Diceros bicornis minor: one gene and its partners. The protein of the gene in region 1 purifies or fractionates together with the protein of each later gene. This does not show direct contact. Links are inferred from orthologs where the notes say so. Each region holds a gene or a part of one and is shown in the gene's direction. Other genes may lie near its edges.

What was found.
Region 2: the proteins of INTS6 (region 1) and INTS11 purify together in Homo sapiens (affinity purification with mass spectrometry; 3 studies listed by BioGRID, with this or other methods). This does not show direct contact. The link is inferred for Diceros bicornis minor from reciprocal best matches to the Homo sapiens genes INTS6 and INTS11.
Region 3: the proteins of INTS6 (region 1) and PPP2CB purify together in Homo sapiens (affinity purification with mass spectrometry; 3 studies listed by BioGRID and IntAct, with this or other methods). This does not show direct contact. The link is inferred for Diceros bicornis minor from reciprocal best matches to the Homo sapiens genes INTS6 and PPP2CB.

Annotation. Positions count from the first base shown.
Region 1 is NC_080748.1:25,856,381-25,863,919, forward strand, and holds the start of INTS6 (integrator complex subunit 6), read left to right. Parts: upstream 1-4,537; 5' UTR 4,538-5,033; coding exon 5,034-5,144; intron 5,145-5,532; coding exon 5,533-5,610; intron 5,611-6,441; coding exon 6,442-6,591; intron 6,592-7,539. UniProt on the Homo sapiens protein: Component of the integrator complex, a multiprotein complex that terminates RNA polymerase II (Pol II) transcription in the promoter-proximal region of genes.
Region 2 is NC_080752.1:22,289,202-22,296,196, reverse strand, and holds the start of INTS11 (integrator complex subunit 11), read left to right. Parts: upstream 1-3,988; 5' UTR 3,989-4,067; coding exon 4,068-4,095; intron 4,096-6,935; coding exon 6,936-6,995. Other genes in the region: CPTP (ceramide-1-phosphate transfer protein), read right to left, coding at 763-1,285, 1,525-1,646.
Region 3 is NC_080768.1:28,480,293-28,488,025, reverse strand, and holds the start of PPP2CB (serine/threonine-protein phosphatase 2A catalytic subunit beta isoform), read left to right. Parts: upstream 1-4,726; 5' UTR 4,727-5,024; coding exon 5,025-5,126; intron 5,127-7,733.

The DNA of each region.
Region 1 (7,539 bases):
TCAGGACTGATCTTGAATCTTCTGAGACTTCAGCTATTTCTGTGAAATACTGTTCGTTGGAAAGGTCTAATTTATCTTTTTTTTCCCCCCAAAGCCCCAGTAGACAGTTGTATGCCATAGTTGCACATCCTTCTAGTTGCTGTATGTGGGACACGGCCTCAGCATGGCCGGAGAAGTGGTGCATTGGTGTGCGCCCGGGATCCGAACCCGGGCCGCCAGTAGTGGAGCGCGAGCACTTAACCGCTAAGCCACGGGGCCAGCCCTGATTTCTTTATAATAGTGGTCTCTAGCAGCATTTTTTTCTGAGGATTGACACTATTTAATATTAGGATGACCAAAATTAAATTTCCTTATATATGTACTATCTGAATACATTCTGCTGCATAATTTCACATCTAACTTTTTATGCTTATTGCTTCATGTTTTTTTGATGTTCTCAACCTCAACATCATTGACTATTGTGATCTCAAAGAGTAAAGCAGAGAGCTGGGAAAATGGTAAGACAGTCAAAAGAAACTTTGTTAGGTTACACATGAGGGAACACTAGGTTGATCTGACTATTCTGTTCAGATAGCGCATGCAGAGACCATAAGCCAAGTCATTGGCACATAATCATTTTTAAACCGTGTTGCCCTGCTTAATTGGTTTAAAATAATTTAAAAGGGCTCTGGTTGGCTCCTACAAATGAATCTAATTCATCAGTTCTTAATTCTGTTAGAATAGCTCCATTTCAACAATTTAGCCTATTGTTTAAGCCAGAGTCACCATTCTTTCAGAAGGTTTCCTATAATTTATTCCTTCCCTTTTAAATTGGGGGCATAGCATTTGGGCAGCATTTTTTTAAAAACAGCAGCAAAGAGCAAGTTTTCCCCCACATACCTCTTCTGATCATTGCCCTCCCAGGAGAATCTTTCCTAAGCCACTAGACTGCAACAGGACAGGGTTAGCCCACAATACTCCTACTACGTCTCCCTCGAGCACTGCAGGAGCTCAGTTTCTTCAGCTGAGTCTGATGAAATAGTTGGCTTGCAAGTTTTAGAAAAATAAGCCTGAATATAACCAGAATCTTTCTAGAATCACATTCTGGAATCACAGAGATTGAGTGAAGAAGAGATTCATGTTTCACATCTTATGCTTACTCCAAGGCCTAAGCTCACTGACGGGAACAGTGGGAATCTCTGGCACTGTTTACTTCTTTTTATTTTTTGGTCAAGAATTTAAGCAATTTAAATACGCTTATGAATCAAATCTACTGTTATCTATATTGCTGTCACATTTATAGTTTTTTTTTTCCTTTAATTTGCAGATTTGTTTTAGGAGTTCTTTTAAGAAATGTAATAACTCTAAGAGGGTGTGAATTTTTAAAGTTATTTAGTGAGTACTATTAGATGCTAGGCACATACATTATTCTTATACTTTAAGCATATAGTTCTTAATGATTATTTATAAGATTCACTTGAAGAGCTTTTTAAAGCATGAGATGACCAGGGCCCATCCCAATTCTACCGAATCACTTTCCTCCAGGTATGGGGATTTGGTATATTTATTACTATTTTTAAGTTCTGTGGGTAATATTGATGTGCATCTCCTGGCCCAGAACTACTGCTTTAAGCTATCATCAAACCAACAGCTTAACTGTCAACCAGAGTCACTAAGAATAACCTTGGCCTATTTCACAATTCTGTCTAGGGACCACTCATCAATGCTTCCTGGTTTCTGATTGCCTCTTGATTTGCCCCCTGTGTACATCCTGATTTCTTTCCTGTTCTGCCTCGGGGCTTTGGCTTCCAGCACTTCTGGGCTTCTGAACTGGAAACCTGGCCTTTGATCTTAGGTGGTTATATGCTCTAGGTTGGCTCATTGGACTTGGCTCTCCTGATCTCTGCATCTAATCCTGGCTCTACCAGACCCTAGTATGACAATCTGCCAATTCCCCTGAGTCAGGGAAGAAAAAGCCATGATGGCTCCATTGGAAATGATTTCAAATAACTGTAATAGGTAAGGTCATTGTTAATGCATGCTCACCTACTTCAGTAGTCTAGTTTGATTTCCTTTAAACACTACTTTGTACTCAGCGCCTCAACTAAAACTCTAGTTTATATGGAAAAATATCCTTAACCTGGAATAAAAGCCCTGTACTATCTAGACTTGACCTACTTTCTGGATCTTATACTATTCTTTGTGTACCAGGTGCGCCAGCCCAGCTGAACTTCCCTGTACCCCAGGAAGCATTGGCAATGCTGTGCTTTCATTCTTCACTACATTTTCAATGTCTAGGACTTTTTCATGAGCAACTTCCTCTTTCTTTACCCACATATTCAAATCCTACCAATCCTTTAAAGCAGTGTTTCTCAAATCTGAATAATGTAAAAGAAATTCTTATGATTTTAGAGATTACATTTTCCGACAGGCATAGGTCCATAGAACACAATTTGAAAAGCACTGATACAGAAAACTGAAGACCAATTATATGAAAATTTCTTTCAGATGTGAATTATCACTTTGAAAGAAAAATTTTGTCCTTATAACTGGTAAAGTGATTTGTATATTGTCATTAAAATGAAAACAAAAATTTTAGAGTATCAAAGAACTGATTCTTATCTCTAGGTCTAGGATCTCAGTTTGAGAAACACTGCTTTAACGCACCGCTTAAACACACTGACCCTGGAAACTTGTTCTTTCGTCACCCCAGGGTAATAAATTTTTCTCTTTTCTAAATTATTTACTATCTGATCACTTTCTGCCTTGTAGTAGCTAATAATTGACGTGTAATATTTTTCTAGAAAAACCATAAGCTCTTTGAAGGCAGGGACCATATTTTCATAATTTTTTAACTCCACCAGTCCTCAGCAAATATTGGATGTAAGACCTGTAGTTCATCTTATTTCTAGTCCAAATCTCTTAAAAACATCTCCTTCTTCTATGGTACATACAAAACAGCATATTACTGAAATAGCCCTACTATAAATTAACAAAAACTTCATAGGTTGTCTTAAATATTAGTAAAAGTCCAAGTTATGAAACTCCAGATTTTAAAAAAGTGCCACAAACCATGTCTCTTCTGTGTTAACGTCAAAAGGACCAATTTCTTTAAATGATCGGTAGGCAAATAACTAAAAATTTCAGGATAAAGAATATAAAAATCGAAATGCAAGGCTAGTAGAAGAGGTCCTATAAAAATCTACCTGGTCTTATAAGGGTTGTATGTCCTTAATTCAACTTGCATTTCAGGCAGTCTTCAGTCTTTCAAAGAGTATATTTGAGGAAACCGTTTTCTCTGACATTTAGGAGAGAGGATTCATTACCCCAGGCATGATGATAGGGGCTTGCTTCAATAACCGAGAACGTTTTCCCTCATACAGTATTTGGAACGACTCCGAGAGACACCATACAGTGAAAGGAAAGTGCACCGGCACGGTTATGGGGAACACTCTGTGTTACCTGGGCAAACTGAAGTCAGTTTTTTCATTTTAAAATAAGAGTAATGGATTATGACTGGCTTAGGTCCCTTTTAGCTCTGAAATTGATATTCTATGGCCCTAGGTAAACATGGCTTGAGAAAGGTATTCCTTTGGGTAACACCGGTTAATTTTCCCTGAGAATAACAAGGGTACAAACTGTTTATCGATATTTGAGGCTTCCCCCAGACTCTTTTAGGGCTGTTAGGAAGGGGGTTTGTACCCTTTTTGGAGGGTCCTCCAACGAGGGGGGCTTCTGCCCTGCTCCAGCTCCAGCCCTTACCCTTGGTCGCTCCCCCAGGGCCAAGCAAGACTGCGGGCGAGGTACGCCTCTGGTCCCCACTCCCCAGCGGGAGCGGTGTGACTCTCGGAGATTAGTCCCTGGTTATAAACAACCTCTCACTTCCCCTCCCCCGCCCCGGGCCCGCCCGCACTGGGGCCGGCCCTCCGAGGCCCAAGGAAACTCCTCCCGATGCCGTGGGCTCGCAGCCCTTCCCGGGAGGGCGACCGCGGCCCTGCCCCCTTCTCCTAACTGGGTGTTTGATCACGTCACTCATCCCCTTCTCAGTCGCCCACCGGGGAAAGGGTTCGCTTCAGCGACGTCGGAAGGAGAGCTGAGGCCAGCCTCCATTTCCCTTCCGCCGACCCCTATCACCTCCAACAGCCAAGGCGAGGGCGGCCGCCTTGACGCGCAGACTCACAGCCGCGGCCACCCTGCGCGCGCCGACGCGGCCCCCGCCCCCACCCCGCGGTGCTTCCGCGGTCCGTCCCCGCCCCTTCCCGGAGCCCGCCTCCGTGTCTCCCGGCCCGCCTGCTAGCCCCTCGCGCTCCCTCTCGCGCGCACCCGACGCCCCGCCTCCGCGCGTGCTCAATAACTGTTCCCGGAGCCGGCCCACAAGCTTCCCCCGCCCCTGAGCTGTTTGAATATGCTAATAAGAGGCTGGGGACTGCCCAATAGAATAGCGGGGCGGTACGTCACATGGCTCAAGGACGTGTCAGGGGGCGGAGCCTCTGCAGCCCCTGCCCGAGTTAAAACCGGAGTGTGAGAGAGAAAAGCGCTTCAGTAGCGAGAGGGGCTGAGAAAGTGGTGACACCGCCGGGGTGCGGAGGGAGTCCCTGAAACTTCTCCCAACAGCCCCAGGGCCAATCTCCCCTCAGCCCACTCCCCTCTTCGCCAGCTCCCAGGTCCCCACTCCCTGCACCGGGGGTGGGGTGGGGAGCCAGGCCCGTCTCCCGCTGGGACACACACAGGGGCCGGGAGCGGGGACGGGACCCCCGAGGCGGGGGGGACGGACCGACAGACAGACGGCCGGGCGCCCGCCCCAGCGGGCAGGCAGGCAGGAGGAGGCGGAGGCGGGGGTACGACGGGGAGGACTGGGTCTGGGGAGTTTCCTCTCAACTATCGGGGGAGAAACTCCCCGCAGCCGGAGGAAAGACCCAGACGGTGTTTTCCTCCCGGGGGCCGCGCTCCCCCGCCCCGCGTAGCGGCGGTCGCCGCCGCCGCCACCGGCGCCTCCACCTCTACCATCTCCTCTTGCTCCACCACCTCGGGCCCCGGTGTCCCCGGCCAGCACTATGCCCATCTTACTGTTCCTGATAGACACGTCTGCCTCTATGAACCAGCGCAGCCATCTGGGCACCACCTACCTGGACACGGCCAAAGGCGCGGTAGAGACCTTCATGAAGGTACCGACTGACCGAGCCCGGGCGGCGACCCCGGCCCGGCAGCCGCGGGCGGCAGGGGTGGGGGGAGGGAGGCCGGGGGCGGCGAGGCGGAGGTGTCGGGGACCTGACTGCGGGAGCCGCCGGGCTCGGGGACCCCCTCCCCCACCGCGCGGGCGGGCGGGCGGGCGCTGCGAGCCGGGCTCGGCCCGGGCCCGGGCTCCGGCCCCGGGCGGTGTGTGGGGGCCGATCTGTGTGCGGGGGGCGGCGCGGAGGGGTGGCCGCTGCGTGTGCGGTACTGTGGGGGGCGGTGGGGCCGCTGGGCGCCCCTTCTCCGCCTCGTAACCTCGCCTCTCTGCTTCCCTCTCGCCCGCCCTGTTCCTCCTCCCGTCCCCCACCCGCTCTCCCGCAGCTCCGTGCCCGGGACCCTGCCAGCCGAGGAGACAGGTATATGCTGGTCACTTTCGAAGAGCCGCCCTATGCTATCAAGGTAACAGCCCTCGCCCTCCCCCTTCCTTCCCTTGCCTGTTCCTTCCTCGCTCGCCCTCCCCGCCCCCCCATTCACCCTTCATTATGCTCCCCTCCCCCACCCGCTGTGCTCCAGGCGCTGAGGTCTTTTCCCCTGCGGGCGCCCACTCCCTCCCCTCGCTCCGGAGCGTCCTGGCGCGGCGCAGAGTCGCCGGGCCACCGCCGTCCCCTCCCCAGCCCGACCCGGCGGCGGCGGCGGTGGCGGCGGCGGCGGCGCTGCGATCAACATGGCCGACATTTCCCCTCCGCGGCGTGAGCGGCAGCAATGAACTGTGGGGGATATTTATTCAAGTTAGCCCGAGTGACAGCCGGGCCCGGCCGCGCCGAGCCCCGGTTTGCATTAAAGGGGCATCGGCCCGAGGCTTGGCCGCGCTCGCCAGGCTGGCGGGCCGGCGAGCGGGGTGGGGGGCTGCGCGGCTTGGTCTTCGGATTCGTGCTGAGAGGGCCGCGGGGCCGGTGGGACAGCTGTAGGTTAACTTCCGAAGTCCTGCTCACTTCTGCTTTCCACTAGTACCTTTGCATCCCCAGATTTTGGGTATTAGGTTAGGGAGTGAATTTCCCAGGGAAGCTCTAAAGTGTTAAGGTTGTTCGCTACCAGAAACTGTAGAGCCAGCAGGTTTATTCTTGGCCACTTTTGGAAGAGAGTTCCCTCAGCAGCGATCCGGTATTGACACGTTAACCAAACCATACTGTAAAGTGAAGCAGCTACCTGGTGAACGGCAGATTGTAACGCCTGTCCTTGTACACAGGACTCTAAAAGATGAAAAAAAAATTCTTACATTTTTCTTTTCAGGCCGGATGGAAAGAAAACCATGCAACGTTTATGAATGAACTGAAAAACCTTCAGGCTGAAGGACTTACGACTCTTGGCCAATCCCTAAGGACAGCTTTTGATTTATTAAATTTAAATAGATTAGTAACTGGCATAGACAACTATGGGCAGGTAGGTTGAATATTAAGGTGGAAAAACAGTTGATTTTTCTTTTTGTGGAAAAACACAGTCCGGCCCCAAAACTATATAACATGAAATACAAGTATAACACGTTTCAGATTAAAACAGAATGTGCACATAATGCAAAAGTGAAACCCTGACCATGCTATATGTGGTTTTATAGCCCTCATGTTTTAAAAATGTATTTGTATTCAGAATTAGAATCTGGATTCTTTGATATAAAGTTGACATGAATTTGGTTTTAATCCCTTCAAGTTCACTCAGGACGTAAAAGGGAAAACATCCTACCTCACCACACTCAGTTTCTCTGATACTCTACCCACAGGCAATTGTGCAACTATTGCAGTGACTTGCATACACTAGTTGATTAGTGGTCTTCATTTCTATATTAGTATAAAATAGAGAAATGTTAGAAGAAATTATTCTATTTGTTGTGTCAGGGTTTAATTTAACCATATTGTATAACTACTCAGAGGTGAGAAATTTTCACTGGAGTGCAATAACTGGTTGAGTACATTAAGATTTCTCAGCTTTTGAAGCATATACAGTAAGCAACTATACAGGAAGAATTCTTAATTCATTCCTGAATTAAATGGCAGGTCCAGAGTGCAGTACTTGCTTTCATTTATTATGAGACAAGGGCTTTGAATCACATGATGGTTCACTATAGAATAATGCAAGGTGGTCCATTAAAACTTTTTTTGAGATTACTGACCTGGAAAATAAAAGATACTGAAGAATGCGTATTGTTAACACAAAACAAAGGAATATTAAACCCAAGGAGTTCAGTTTTTATGTTGTACAAAGCACTATTACCACAATGATACATTTAGGTATACATTTTGTTCTTTTCCCAAGTTGCACGAGGCACAATTTTCATGACTTTCACAAGTTTCAGGGAAATTCTTCCCATGACTACAACTTTTGGTTGCTTTATAT
Region 2 (6,995 bases), on another chromosome or scaffold:
GCTCCCGGGGGCTTCGGGCCTATGCGGTGCAGACTCACAGGCAGATGCCTGGAGGAGCTCGGGGCCACAGCGTGGCTGCAGAGGACAGCTGACGTGTGTAGAGGGCTACAAAGGCAGGGAGGCCTTGACTCAGGGCCTCAGCTCCCACTGTCACTGCCGAGGACACATGTGCCCCTAGTAACAAGTAGGTGAGGGGTAGGGAGGGAGCCTGCAGTGCCAACTGCTGCCCAGGGATTCTCTCCCTGCCCTGGGGACAGCCAGCCTGGTGTGGAGGGGCCTGAGGCAGCCCACCTAGGCACAGACACCACATCCCGGGCCTGGGAAGGACATGCACCAGCGTCGTCGGCTGGCGACCAGGACAGAGTCTGTGTACTCCAGGGACCTGTGACCTCACCCCATCTCACAGACTTGACTCACAGGTGGGGGCAGCTTCTCTGGCCTTTGCACACACACTGATCCTGCTCTCTGCACTTCACGCACCAGGTGAGGCCTGTTAGACACTCATGTCACCTGGCAGAGGGTAAAGCTAAGATGCCATTGGGCAGAGCAAGAGGACGGGCGTGGAGCAGACGGCCAGCGCCTGCCTCCTCTGACCAGAACAGGCCACACTTGGTCCGTGGCTCCCAACAGGCTTGGCTCGTGCGGACAGTGGTCTTCCCGTTCTTGGGGCACCCAGAAAGGTCCGTGGTGGGACTCACGGGCCCTGGTTGCCCCAGCCCAGCTCTGGAGGAGGGGAAGCCTGCCCTGCTGGGCCCGCCGGCCCTAGGGCAGGTCCAGCAGAGCGTGCTCGGCGTAGAGCTTCTGGCAGATGTTGTAGACATGCTCAATGAAGGGCAGGGCCTCCCCTAGCATCTCCACAGCCTGCTCGGGGGACCCCACGTTCATGGCCTCCAGGAAGACCTTGCGTGTGGGAAGCGTGCAGAAAGCCACAGTGACAGCCCGGCGGATGATCCAGGGGTGGTAGGCAGCCAGCGAGGCATTGTAGGAGTCAGTGCAGAGCGTGGCAGTGCGCGCGTCCTCGGGGCTGGTGCGCAGACCTTCCAGGAAGAGCTGCAGCCAGCGCAGGGCGCGGTGCAGCCGGAGCACCGTCCGGCAGCCTGAGTCGGCGTGGTGCGAGCGCCGCTCCAGGTCCACCAGCTGGTTGCCCACCTCATAGGCCACCATGGACTGCAGGCTTCTGTAGTGCTCCCGCTGGGGGCTGCTGCACAGGCGCTCCATGATCTGCAGCTTCGTCACCACGTCCTTGGAGACAAACGAGAAGATGGTGCCCAGACTGTTCAGGAACCTGCAAGAAGGGAAGCAGGAGCTTAGCCTGGGGTGCAGGGAAGACCACCTCCTGCCTCCTGGGGCACATGTCCACCTGGAGGCAGAGGCAGCAAGTGAGAACAGCTGACCGGCCCTGGGCAGGCAGGAGCCTGGTGCATCCACGTGCCGTGCAGACTGCAGGTCTCGCACATGGGAAGTGTGGCCAGGAAAGCCCCGCCTTTGGGCTGGCCCTGCAGGGCAGTGGCCCCTTGCACGCACCTGACCAGCCCCCTCCAGCCTGCGAGGTAGTGGTCCAGCAGCACCTCTTCCTTCTCGTCGAGACACTGCTTGAAACTCACCAAGACAACTTTCAGATTGAAGTCCGACTCCAAGTCGTCCATTTTTCAATACGAACTGAAACACAAGGGGAGCCAGGATGAGGGGCTTTCTCACTGAGTCATCTCACTCCTCAGATTGTTATCTTGAGGGTGGAAGCAGGTCCGGTGGAAAGAACCAGCTGGGATCCTCTTGCTCCCCACAGGAAGCCCCATCCCCAGGTCAGCCCCTCCTCCCCAGGAGCTCATCTTCCTTGGGCCACACGGTCTCAGACACACCAACCTGACTCCACAGACCCTTTGCCCGGAACACGTGCCTAGACAGCTTAGCAAGGCCTCTCCTTGTCAGGCAGGCTTTGCCACACCACTCTGTTGCATCTTGCTTGTAGCATCCCAACTCACGGTTTCTTGCTTATTTGTTTATCGTTTGTCTCTCTCACTAGAGTGTGTCTGTTTTTACTAGCTGGAACATATTTGCTTGGTCCCTGCCTAGAGCCAGGCCCTCTTCCAGGTACTCAGGTGCACCATGAGTGAGACAAACAGCCCTGTCTTGTCAGGGTGACATTCTAGTGTGGTGGGTGTGAGACAATAACAAAGACAGGAAATTCCAGCAGGGTAGGTAACAGAAGGTAAACACAATGGAAAAAAAGACAGTGGAGTGAGGTGGGAGGGCCGGGGAGGGTGGTGGGGCGGGCCACACCATTCCTTGCTCACTGCTGCATCCTGAAAGCCAGAGCAGAGGCTGCAAGGTCAGCATTTGCTGGATGGATGGACAGACACCAGTCTTTTCACTCTTACTGAAACCGTACATGTCCCACACAGAAGGGCGGATGGACCAAAGATCTTTCCACACTCTGAAAACATCCACAAGGTCCTCCCTTAGCCCCAGAGAACCTTCCGGAAGTGCCACAGGCTAGAGTCCTGCTCTGAATTCTGCTCACATTCATACACTCACTCCACAAACATCCAAGCGCTGTGTTCAGTGGGTGCCATTGGGCACCCCAGCCCCTGCCTCCCTGAGCTCCCAGGGCCAGCACGCGACGGGCCCAGGGGACCTGGCGTCCAGGATGAGCTCTCACCCCACTGGGCCCGGGTGCTCCTGTGCCCTTGGTGCCTGGAGCCCTGTGGGACACCTGGCAAGGGAGGGAGGCCGCCCAAGCTGTGACGAGAGCCCCAGCCAAGAGCAGGACACCTGGTACCTGGGCAGCTTCTGCCTTCTGCTCTGCGGGTAGGTCACTCGCCATCCTGACACCTGGTCCTTCATCTCTGGGGAAAATGGGCCAGCACACCCTGTCCTGCCCACCGCTCAGGCTGCTGGGAGTGTCTGGTGGGGCCTGGCAGGTGCTGAGGCCCTGCAGGCCCCACAGGCTGGGCTGCATGTCTGGCATCAGGCGGAGACCCCAGAGCAAGCTCACCCTGTCTTCAGGTACGTGAGTCGGCTGTGCCCGGCCTCAGGAAGATGGTGCTATGGACACTTCTGGCACACCCCTCCCCTTGCTCTGGGCCTCGGTTCTGCGTCCACCAAGCAGATGGTCTCTGAGGCCCTCAGGGCTACCTTCCTAGCCGCCAGACATCCTGTGGGCTTGGAGTTCCTGCGCAGAGCCAGCAGCCAACAGGGGCTGCCAGGGGCCTTTCAGAGCTTGGAAACAACAGGAAGGGCAGTGACCATGCGGCTGGGCACTGGCAGCTGGCCAGCTCTGGGAAGGTGAGGATGCAGGGCACCGCCGAGCCTCTCCCAGGGGCTAATTCACGGCCCCAAGGTCAGGGCTCGGCGCGAGGGTGGCCTGAGCATCCGAACCCTGTGCTGCCAGCAGACTGGACACCCCCAAGAGAAGGGGACACCCACCCCGGCACCCCAGAATTAGGGGGTGGGAACGGAGCCCTGCCCAGGAAGTCCTTCAAGTCTCTTCCGGGAAGGGGGCTCCAAGCGGCACCGGGCAGGTCCCCGGTCCTGAGCGGGTCCTGCTCCAGCTGGAGGCCCGGGGACCGGGCAGGGGCCCGGGGTCCGGGTCAGCGCGGGAGCCAGGTCCTCGGCCGCCCCCTCCCGCCCCGGGGTCCCGCGCCTAGCTCCTCGGACATGCCCAGGCCCGCCCAGCCGGTTCGGTTGAGCTCGGTTCCCCCGCCGCCGCCGCCGCTCACGTGCGCCGCCGCCCACGTCCGCCGCCGCCGCCGCCGCCGCTCACGTCCGCCGCCGCCGCCGCCGCCGCTCACGTCCGCCGCCGCCGCCGCCGCCGCTCACGTCCGCCGCCGCCGCCGCCAGGGAACCCAGCGCCCCGCCCCCGGCCTCCGCGCCGCCTCCCGGGATTGGTTGCCGGCCGCCCAATCAGGAGGCCCGGAGCGCGGGCCCGTGTTTCCGGCGGGCACACCGGAAGCCAGCGCCTCGGGGCTGCGCCTGAGCAGTGCGTCGTCGCGGGTCGCGCTCGGCGGCTGGGTTCGTGGGGTTGACTGGGAACGCAGAGGCGAGGGGCCGGGGGCGCGGACGGCAGGATGCCCGACATCAGGGTCACACCCCTGGGTGAGTGGGGCGCGGGGCGGGCGGGGGCCGGCCGGTGGAGGGGCCGGGGAGCGCGCCGGGTGGGCTCGGGGTCGGGCCGGGCCGGCCCGCTTCCCGGCCGTGAAGGGAGGACGGGATCGCCCGAGCAGCCCTCCCCGGGCCTGGCCCCTGGACGGCGTGCCGTGGAGGCACAGGGTCTCCGTCCTCGCCGCGCCCGCGCTCGGCTTACTTCGCGCGCGGCTGGCGCGCCAGGCCCCTTGGCGCCTCTGCCCTCACCGCTCGCTCTCCTGCCACCCGCTCTGTCCGTCCCCGCCCGGTCACCTGCAGCCTCCCACGTGCGCAGTCTGGAGACCCACCCTCGGTTCAGTCCTTGTTTTACTTGATTTTTGCCACGTTAAAAAAATTGTTTTGCTTTTTGTAAAAGGTATAGATGCGCACTTTTAAAAGCCCGAGCAGTACAAGACAGTACAAAGGAGGAAAGACCACTCAGAATCCAGGGTCCTAGTAACAACTAGGGTGATCGTGTAGGTCGCCAGCCCTCCCGGCGTCTCTGGGCGTTGTTGGTGCATGCATGGCATGCACTGGTTGGGAGCCTGCTTCCTTCACTGGGCCCTGTGTTGCCAGCATCTTCCTGTACAGATGTCCCACACGGTTCCACGTGCTTTCTCAGGGTGTGAGGTCTTCCCTGGAATAGCCCACCCTGCCCTTCGTGTGGATATTGAGCTGTTGACAACCGTGATGAATGCCCCTGCCCCTGGCCTGCTGCGTCAGATTGCACGTTCCATGCTGCTATACGCATCATCACCCCCATGGCCTCTCCTAGCTGTTGGTACGGGGTCACCACCGCCCCGTGCCCTCTCCTGCCCCTGGCTTCTCTCCAGGGGCTTCTGTGGGACCCTCCTACCAGCCCCTTTCCCATGTGGCCCCTCTTCTCGCCACTCACTGTCCTTAAACAGTCCTATTGTCTTACTGTTCTCTTACCCCAAATCTGCATTTAGGTGCACCCCAAAGGTCGCTCAGCCACAGCGCCATCAAAGCAGAAACACTTCTGCTCCACTCTCTCCCTTCACCAGTTTCTGCCTTGAGGGCTCCCTGGTCACCTGGGCCAGATTTGGAGAGTCTTGCCGGGTCACTCCCGGGGCCTTTGCACAGCTGCTCCTCCCATCTTGGCTGTCTCTCTCCACTCTGCTCGCAAGTTGTCTTCTCAGGGAGGAGTTGCCTGTCGTGGTTTTGGAAGTTTCTGTGTCCCCTTTCCTGCGTTACTTTTCTCCATGGTGCTGATCTCCACCTGACGCCCTCAGCGTGTGTCCTACCTACGTGGTTGTCGTTTGTCTCCTTGCCCTGGATCGTCAGCTCCCCGCAGACAGAGTGTCTCCCTTGTCTTCTCCTGAGTCCTGTCCCCCTCTTGTGTGCCCTCGACTCTGTCCCCCACGTCTTTTGCCCAGTTCAGCCACTCTCTCTGCTCCCTGGGATTGTTGTGGGTGCTGTTGGGACCAGGCAGCCAGCGCCTAAGAGCTGGGCTCTGAAATCTAGAACGCGGTCTCTGGCCCCATGCTTAGGAGCCATGTGCCCGTGGGTCAATCCTGTGTCTTCTGTGGCTCCACGTCATCTGTAAAGAGGAGTGGCCCTTCCCCTCTCACAAATGTTTGGAGGGTCTCTGAGCCAGGCATGACTCCTGGGCTGGAGGTGCAGCAGGTGGCAGACAGCTGAGATCCTGCCCTCAGGGAGGCACGTCCTAGTGGGCACAGCAGCAGGCCTGTCAGAGACCTGGAGGCTGCCACCTGTGGCTGGGCTGCTTGAGGCAGGCAGGCGAAGCTCTTGGCTGGTGTCATCTGCTGTTTTCACAGGTGACTGAAGCTTCTCGAGGACCAGCCCATGTCCCACTCTGGGCCGTGGCCTGGTCACCCTGGTGTGTGTGGTGCTACCTGAAGGTTCAGGTGGCCGGCAGAGGGAGGCTGGTAGGGTTCAAGATGGAGACCAGGTGATTTGGTGTCATCAGGGCTTGCAAGACCGTGTCCCTTTCCTTCTGGGTCCCCAGACTCCAGAGGAGGTGACCGATGGCCATATGAGGTGGCCAGGATGTGCCCTGCCAGGGGGAGGTTTCACTGCCTGGAGCATCTGGGCAGGGCTTGGAGGTCAGGAATGTGGATGGGACTTAAGTCACGGTCTGGGCTGGGGGGCCGCCGTGAGGGGCACGGTGGTGAGCTCGTGTCGCCCATGTGCCCTGGGGTGAGGTGTCTGCATTGTGGCCACCATAGTTGGCCATCGCTGGACAGCTGGGGCCATGTTTCCCCTGGGCTGAGGGCTAAAGCCACACAGGTGTCCCTCTGCAGTGGCACCACCAGGAGGCGCCTGACCCCTCTTGGGGGCAGGTCCTGGGAGAGGGGGCATCACAGCCCAGATGTGACCCCAGCCGAGGTTTCAGGAGGGATGGTGAGTTTCCACAGAGCCCCGGCTTGCCTCTGTTGGTGCTGAGACCACAGTCTAGCACCCACGACTCAGTGTCAAGGCGGTGACCTTGAGAGGTCAGGGGCTTCTTCTACCTGACCCTGGGCAGTAGTGGCAGAGGCGCATGTGGACTAGAGCTCGCTTGGTGGCCTTGACGCTTTGTCCCTTGCCTGCCCGCATGTGGAGGTGGTGATGCTTCTTGGCTCACACGTCGTCCACACTGCATCCCTGGGGCCATTTCCCCAGTCTCCTGAGGGCTCTACTGGGCCAGGGACCCAGGGCGCCCCGTGGGGTCTGGGGCGGGTGGCTGGGCCTTGGCCTTGGGGCTGGGGCCATTGCTTGCAGGAGCAGGGGAGGGGCCGGGGGGAAGGGAGAAGGGCAGGCAGCGCCTCTTAACTCACTCTCCTGTGCAGGGGCCGGCCAGGATGTGGGCCGAAGCTGCATCCTGGTCTCCATTGCGGGCAAGAACGTCA
Region 3 (7,733 bases), on another chromosome or scaffold:
AGCCATCCCTAACATGTGGCCTGTAGCCTCTTGCTTTTTTTCTAGTGGCCTCAAAATGGCTGTTCCATCTCCAGCAATGAGTCCCAGGCAGGAGCATTCTGAGTTTACTCCCTTTAACAAGCTTTCCCGTAGAGCCGCACTCAGCTAGTTCTCCTTACGGTGCGTTTGCCAGAATAACACCACACGGCCACTCCTAGGTATTCTTTAAGCAGGGCATTTTTCACTACAAACAGAATTGTTAAGAAAGGTACCGTGGGTACTGGCTAGACTGCTAACAATCCCTGCTCTACCAGTGTTGGCTAGAATGAAAAATATGGCATCAAAACCATAACAAAAGCAAAAATGTACCTTTTAAAAGAAAGAAGATGAAACAAATATTGAGGCTTTCCATAGTGGTGGATCAATCCTAAATACTGAAACTAATCCTTTTAGTCAGACCAGCAGTTTACTTTCATTCTTGCTACTTTCCTCAAATTCACTCACAAATATTTACTGAGCACCTACTCTCTAAAGGGCTTGTCCTACGTTTTTGGTATCACAAATGTAATATACATGGATCGTGCGGTCAAGTAATTTATATTCTAATAAGAAAGAAGAAATTCATATAAACAACATGATCTAGAAAGTATGTGGTATGGAAAAAGGACAGACCCAAAGGTATGAATTTTTAAAGAGAGATGAATTCCTTTTGGTGTCAGTAAGAGAAAGGACTTCATGGAAAAAGATAATCCTGACACTTGTCCTTGATGATAGAGGCAGGTTTATGCATGCATGGAGGAGGAAAAAAAGTACTTCCTGTAGATGTAAAGCATGAATTAAGGCATGGAGCCAAGAAAGTGTGTGGCAAGTGAGAACAGTAACTAATTGAATAGAATAGATTAAAGCCATTGCCAGAAGTTATGATGATGGGGCAATTAAGCGGCTCTCAGAATTGAAGTGACCACAGCTTCTTCTCCAGTAGTTATTTTTGGAAGTATCCCAGGTTTCAGAGGAGGGATGGAAGCTCCACGGTGACAGAGAAATCAACTTCTGAGCTGTGTCAGTCTTGAGAATATTGTAGGCCTCAGCTTTTAAAAGCCCACAGCGGGAGATTACAAAAAATTCTATTACATAGAGGAAAAAGCATCAACATGGCTGTACAAATTTTTAAATATTTAAAACATAGATTTTCACTTTCAGTGTTATAAATGTCCAGGAGCTCTACAGGAACTGCCTGCTCCAAAACAACTAGACCCAGAACAGGACACCTTTTTTTTTTTTTTTTTTTTTTTGAGGCTTCATTGGTCTTACAAATTAGGATAGATCTCCATGGATTTCCCAAAAATAAACGAGCATGAATTTAGCCCAGAATGGGTAGACATGGGCTGGAGTGGAAAGGATCTTGGGCTTGAGCCATCTGAAGATTTGAGAAGAACTAGATGCTTGGGACAGAACAGCTGGAAACTAAGCCCACAGGGCCAAGAGCCATGGCCTGACTAAATCAGCAGGGAGCTCACCTGAACAACACGGCTGCCAGAAGGAATGACATTGCTCTGAGGCTGGATTCCCAAAGACACTGCTACAGGGACACTGAGGTGGGGGAGCTGACACTCCTATTCTGAGCCAAAACTCTTGCTGAAGTGGTGTTGGCTTAGGAATATTTCCTGGATATTTCTGCAGATACAGAAGCAAACTTTCTAGAGGAAAGTCTTCCCAAGGTAGGCCCACAGTACTGTCACAATCCATTCAAGCTGTGAATGCATACACACTAGAAGGCAAGCCACTATGAGTAAGAGTCAGCAGAAACAAGAAAAACATCTTTAGTCACTTAAGAACTGGCAGTGTGGGAATTGTCAGATACACAATATAGAATAGCTAGGTATAAAATGTTTATAAAGGACTCCACTTCCACAGTGGTATGCTAGGGAATTTGAACCAAGCCTCCAACTGAGGTCAACAAAGAAGGACAAAATATTAAACACAGCATCTGTTCTGATTCCTTTATCTTCAAATAATTCCATCTCTTCCTCAATAAATTTGAAGGGAGTTTTTAGAACCAAGTTTTTTGGGTGGTAGAGTGATAAGAGGAGAAAAGAACTGTGGTCTTTTTATTAACAGTGATTTATAGTTTTTAAATTCAAAGAAAGCATTTCCAATTTGACTTTGTCTTTTTAGTCTCATCATTATTGATGGGGATTCTGATGCAGAATTCCCTGTAGCAATTTCAATAATACCGTATTCACATTCCCATTGTCAAAGTTTTTGAACTAGAAATAAAGATATTTATTTAGTCTTTTGAGAATATGGTGGTATAGAAGAATCATTTTTAAACCAATACAACATATAATTTTAAATGTAGCATATAACTCTCTGGATATGTTACAAAATATAAATGATTCATATTTCATACTTTTAAATGGCATAATACCATTTAAATCAAGAAAAATATCAATGTTTATATATTTTAAAAGAACTTAGTCAATTATGTAGGAACAAAATCTAACATGTAATTTTAAGGCAAAGGATCTGCTGAAGTCAACGATTTTAAAATTCTTTGACCAAAAGGAAAGAGGTAAACAAAGTAAAAATGAGAACACTTCTGGTAAACAAAGAACTTTAGAACTGGCCTGCAAACCTAAGATTAAATGCAGTTTTGCATGACATGCTTAGCAAGGATTGGAGATTGATGGTTATGTTCCACAGGAGAAAACACACAACATATTCATACATAATACATACATACATACATGACAGAAGCAAAGAGCAAAGAAAGAAAGAAGTTTAAGAATTATAGTTTTTATTTTTAATTAAGATGGCTTCACAACCGAAATACCAAAAACTGATATTACAATCACCAAGCCCTTTGGCTGGTCTACCAATCTCCAGCTTTCCCTACTCCCGTCAGACTGTAGAGCTCATATAACATAAAACACAGAGTAGAAGTCAGACAAACTTGGGTGTTAATCCTTACTCCACCAGTTACTATCTGTGTGACTTGAGTGTGCTTTTAAACTTCTGTGTGTCTCTTTCTTCATCTGTAAAGTGGAGAGCAATAATGGCACCTGTCTCATAGGATTACTGGAGGATTAAATGAGAAGACAAATGTAAAACGCTTAGCACATAGGAAGCACTCAAAAAAGCATCCCGGGGCCCACCCCGTGGCCAAGTGGTTAAAGTTCTGCGTGCTCCCCTTTGGCGGGCCTGGGTTTGCAGGTTCGGATCCCAGGCGCAGACCTACTGCACTCATCAGCCATGCTGCGGAGGCATCCCACATACAAAATTGGCACAGATGTTAGCTCAGGGCTAATCTTCCTCAAGCAAAAAAAAAGAGGAAGATTGCCAAAGGATGTTAGCTCAGGGCAAATCTTCCTCACCAAAAAAAAAAAAAAAAAGCATCTTTATTTGCTCTACAGTGTAAGTTGACTAAGCTTTTCAGAAGCACTATTTTCACAAGCTTGCCTACCTATCTTCCACTCTAAGAACATCCGCTCTTGTTATTCCGAACACATTTGCTTTTATTTCAAGGACCTCCCTCCCTAACCACTATAACATAGAGTTCCCATTTCTCCTCAAGGTATATTTTCTGTTCTCAGTCCATCTTCTCTAGGAACTCTGAAAACGCCCTTCTCATTCTCATTTTCATTCTGAGCTTTCCAGGGTTAGCTGAAATCCAGCCCCCTTTAAACCTTTATAGACTAACCTCAGAGACTGCAATGTCTATTGCAATTATACAGGTGCCCCTTCTCTTCAGTGTTGTTTCGTTACCTCTTCATGTTTTCTTCTTCAATTGGTTAGCTACTATTTACAAGTCCGTTGAGAGCAGGAGCTCTTCCAGCCTTATTTCCCTATTTCTGTTGATAGGAATATGTATAGCTTTCCAAACGGACCGTGATCACACATTTGTCCTCTGCCTCACACACAAAAAAAATTCCTTGGAACTTCTTTCCTCTTCTCCAGGCAACTTCAAAGTTTTGCCTTGGGGAAAGGTTCAAAATTCAGTTCAAATGGCACCTTTCTAAAGCTTTCTGTAACTGTGGCTTAGGAGGGATAAGGCAACTAACACATTGCTCCCGTACTGTACTTACTGGGTGGGTACTTGTAAAATTTAATCTTCACAACATGAAAAGGTAAGCCTTACTGAGCCCTGTTAGACGGAGAAGCTGAGGCTTGGAGAAATTCGGTGATTGCCCAAGGACACAGCTAAGAAGTTGGCACAACACAGCTTCATATTATACAGAACAATCATTTCATCTTTCTGATGCTGAAAGCGGGGATTCGAGATGTTAGGGCCCCACAGCTAGCTAGTAGCAGAGATAAGGCTAGAAAGAATTCATTGATTCACTCAATAAATATTGAATGCTTGCTATGGGAAAGGGCTAGACTCCGGCGAGACAATGTTGTCGAGGAAAGGCACAAGCTTCCTAATTCCCTCTCCAGAGCGCTGAAAAAGCACTGCAGAAGACTAAGGTGGGGGCGAAGTTCCCAGAGAAAAGGATGTGAGGAAAGAACCAGGAGAGCTTGGTCCGGACCCGAAGCGGGAACCGGGCATAGAGAAGGGAAGGGGGAGAAAGCGGGGCGACCCTCGGCTCGTTTCTCCGCCGAGCCACACGGGGGCGCTGCAGCCCTGCTCGCATCCCGCTCCCTGGCGGCGCCGCCTGCTCCCCTTTTCCCGGCGGAAATGCCCGGGCGATGACGGAAACCCGGAGGGAGGGAAGAGAAAGAGCGAGAGCGAAGGGGTGAGAGAGCCGGGAGTGGCCGGCGGGTGGCCATCGTCCGGCGGGAGCTGCGCCGAAGCCCCGCGCCGCGCTGCCCCCCACCGCCCCGCGTCCTTCAGCGACTCGCGGGGCGCGCGGCCGGCCGGGGGGCTCCTCGGGGCCGCGCTCCCGGCGCCGCCCGCTGCCTTAGGCGGGGCGTGGGGCCCGCGGCCGCGCGCCCCGGCTCCTTCCTCTCCCGCCGGGAGCTGGCGGCGGCGGCCGGAGCGGCGAGCGGGAGCGGGAGCGGGAGCGGGGAGCGGCGCCGGGGCGGGGGGAGGGCCGCGGGCCGCCATGGACGACAAGGCGTTCACCAAGGAGCTGGACCAGTGGGTCGAGCAGCTGAACGAGTGTAAACAGCTCAACGAGAACCAAGTGCGGACCCTGTGCGAGAAGGTAGGAGAGGAAGGAGGGCTGCGCGGGGGCGGCCGCCCTGCCCCGGGCCCGTGCTCCCGGCGGCGGCGGTGGCCGTTCCGGGGCCCGGGGCGCTGCGCTCACGTTACTGGCCCAGGGGTCCGCTGTGGGTGGCCGGGGGAGACCTGGCACCCGCGCGTGAGCTCGAATGGGGTCACCGACGCTCTTCTGGGGGTTCCTGACCCTCCAGGTCAGCGTGGACTAGCGAGCGCGGCCCTGTGGAATGCGGCCACTTAGTCTGATGCGACCTCCTGTCTGAAAATGCACCGAAAATTAACCTGGATGTTGCTCATATTAACGAACCTGTTCATAAACGTAGGATTTTTTTCAGGTGAATCGGGCCCTTCAAAAATCGCGACCTTGGAATGCGTCAGGCATTTGTTTGTGGAGAGGTGGGTGTGATGGCAGGCTGTGGTTTTTAAAATAGAGGTTGACTTTGGTTGAAACAGATGGTAACTGGTCTTCGCGTTGAGTGGCTCTTGGAAGCAAAATGTTGATTTTCAGAAATAAAACAGCAAGTCTAAAGTTTGGCAACAGTGCTTGCTTGAAATGATAAATGGGGTATGTATTTTTCGTGCAGAGCAGCACTTTTTAGAAAGTCTTTTCCATCTTTATTACATGTAAAGCTTTCTTTTCCGAAGAAAAAGGAGTTTTTATTTGTTTTAGTTGTTTACAGTCGTTCTTGGTTGTATGATCTTAAACAACATTCTGAATTCTGTATCGACTGTTCTTAACCACTGGAATTATTTCAGACGGTCTATCTTATTTACGTTAAAGTCTAGAGTTTTTCTCATTCATCTTTTATAATCTGGACTAAATAATTTTCATACATTTATATGTTAAAAGACCTCATTTGAAGTCCAGGAAGGAGTAACGAGTTTAATCTTTAATGCTGTTGGGTTTGTTTGTATTTTTAAGCCATAATCTATAAAACTTTCTTGATCATAGTGTTCGGAAGTCAGGATGCCCCAGAAATGTTGTTAGTATTATTAATAGGGCACTCTTAAAATAAAGCATCTTAGGGTTGGAGGAGTAATAGCTAATATTAAGTTAAAATAGTGTTTTTAACAAGTAAATGTCGCCTAGGGCCTTTGTATATTAAATAACTATTTGTTAACACAGGAAAATTTATTTCTGTAAATAGAATTGCTGAACAACTGGTATTTTTCTGAAAAAACTGTTTGCTTATAGCTTCAAGTAGACATTCAGTTTCCTTGAGTCATAACCTATAATTTCATGTCTTAAAATTTACGTTTTAAATCTCTCTCTCTCAAGCTCCAGTGTCGAGTGAAATATCCAGTTTTGACATTAGCTGAGTCAGTTAACCTCACTATGAACATAGACATGCACTTCACCAAGTTAATGGACACAGTCAGTAGCTGAGTCAGCTTTTCCCTTTGACGCTCTAATCATTTGGAGATGTATTTCTAGAGAGGAATGTTGTACCACTACTCAGTCACACTTGAGTCTTAATCACTTGAGGAAGCTTTCTGTGTTTGTCGAGAGTATTTTTTACTTCAGCTCCTAAATAATTGAACTACCAATCCCTAGGACTTTATAGGTATGTTTAAGCTTATGTCTTACCCACTTTTTTCTTTGAATATTTGTACTTATCCACTAAACATGAGTTTTTACGTGAAAATCCACAATCATTTATCTTTCTCCTCCACCCCTTTGATGGAGTTGCTGGTGGGTGGAGAAGTGTGATAGGATTCCTTGCTCTCTACCTTTTTAAGCAGTGCTTGGTTTTGCAGCCCTCTTCTAGCAACTGTGGCGTCCCTTTGTGGTATATATGTTCTGTCTTCTAACCTTAGGCTCTAGTTCCATTTTACGTCCCTACCCTGATCCTCCATGTTCCTGAGGAGTGTCCTGTTTGCTTGCAGTGAGCTCTGGTGGTCAGCCCATCTGAGTTCACACCCTGGCCCTGCAGCTCGGCAGCTGCCAGTCTCCCTGCACCTCTGATTCCTCATCTGTAAGACAGAGGTGATAAAATTTCCTGATCTTCTGTGTTGGTTGTGAGTATTAAGATACCACCCCTGTTAAGTCCTGACAAGAAATAAGCACGCAATGAATATTAAATGAAGAAAAGCTAAATAAAAATAGCTATTTCATTTTGTTTTAAATCTGTCCCCTCATTTTCTTTTGCAAAAAGATGCAAAGAAATAGATGTGATGATGTGACTTCTCTGTGGAGAATGTACTTTAAAAAAAGATTTTATATGTAGTGGCTCTAGAATTGTTAAAAATACAGTTTCACTCACTATTTCTTGTGATCCTTGTTACCTGAAGCACAAAGTACTGGGATTAGTAGCAATTTTGTGAAGTAACCTTACCATCACTTGGTCTACTTGATACCTGCTCTACCCTTCCAGGTCAAGAATGGCAGGCGCGTAGAAAGAATATAAGAGAAAAGTGAAAAGTCAAACCTGATTATGTAGATCACCTTATTGTTTAATTCTTTGTGACTAGGTTTTAGTTCTTTTTTTTTTAATAACATGATTTTTTGGAGTCTGTCGGAAATACTACTCTATAGAAAGTTACATTATATGGTGGTGATTTTTCCCTCAAAATTAAATTCCTATTTTAACTC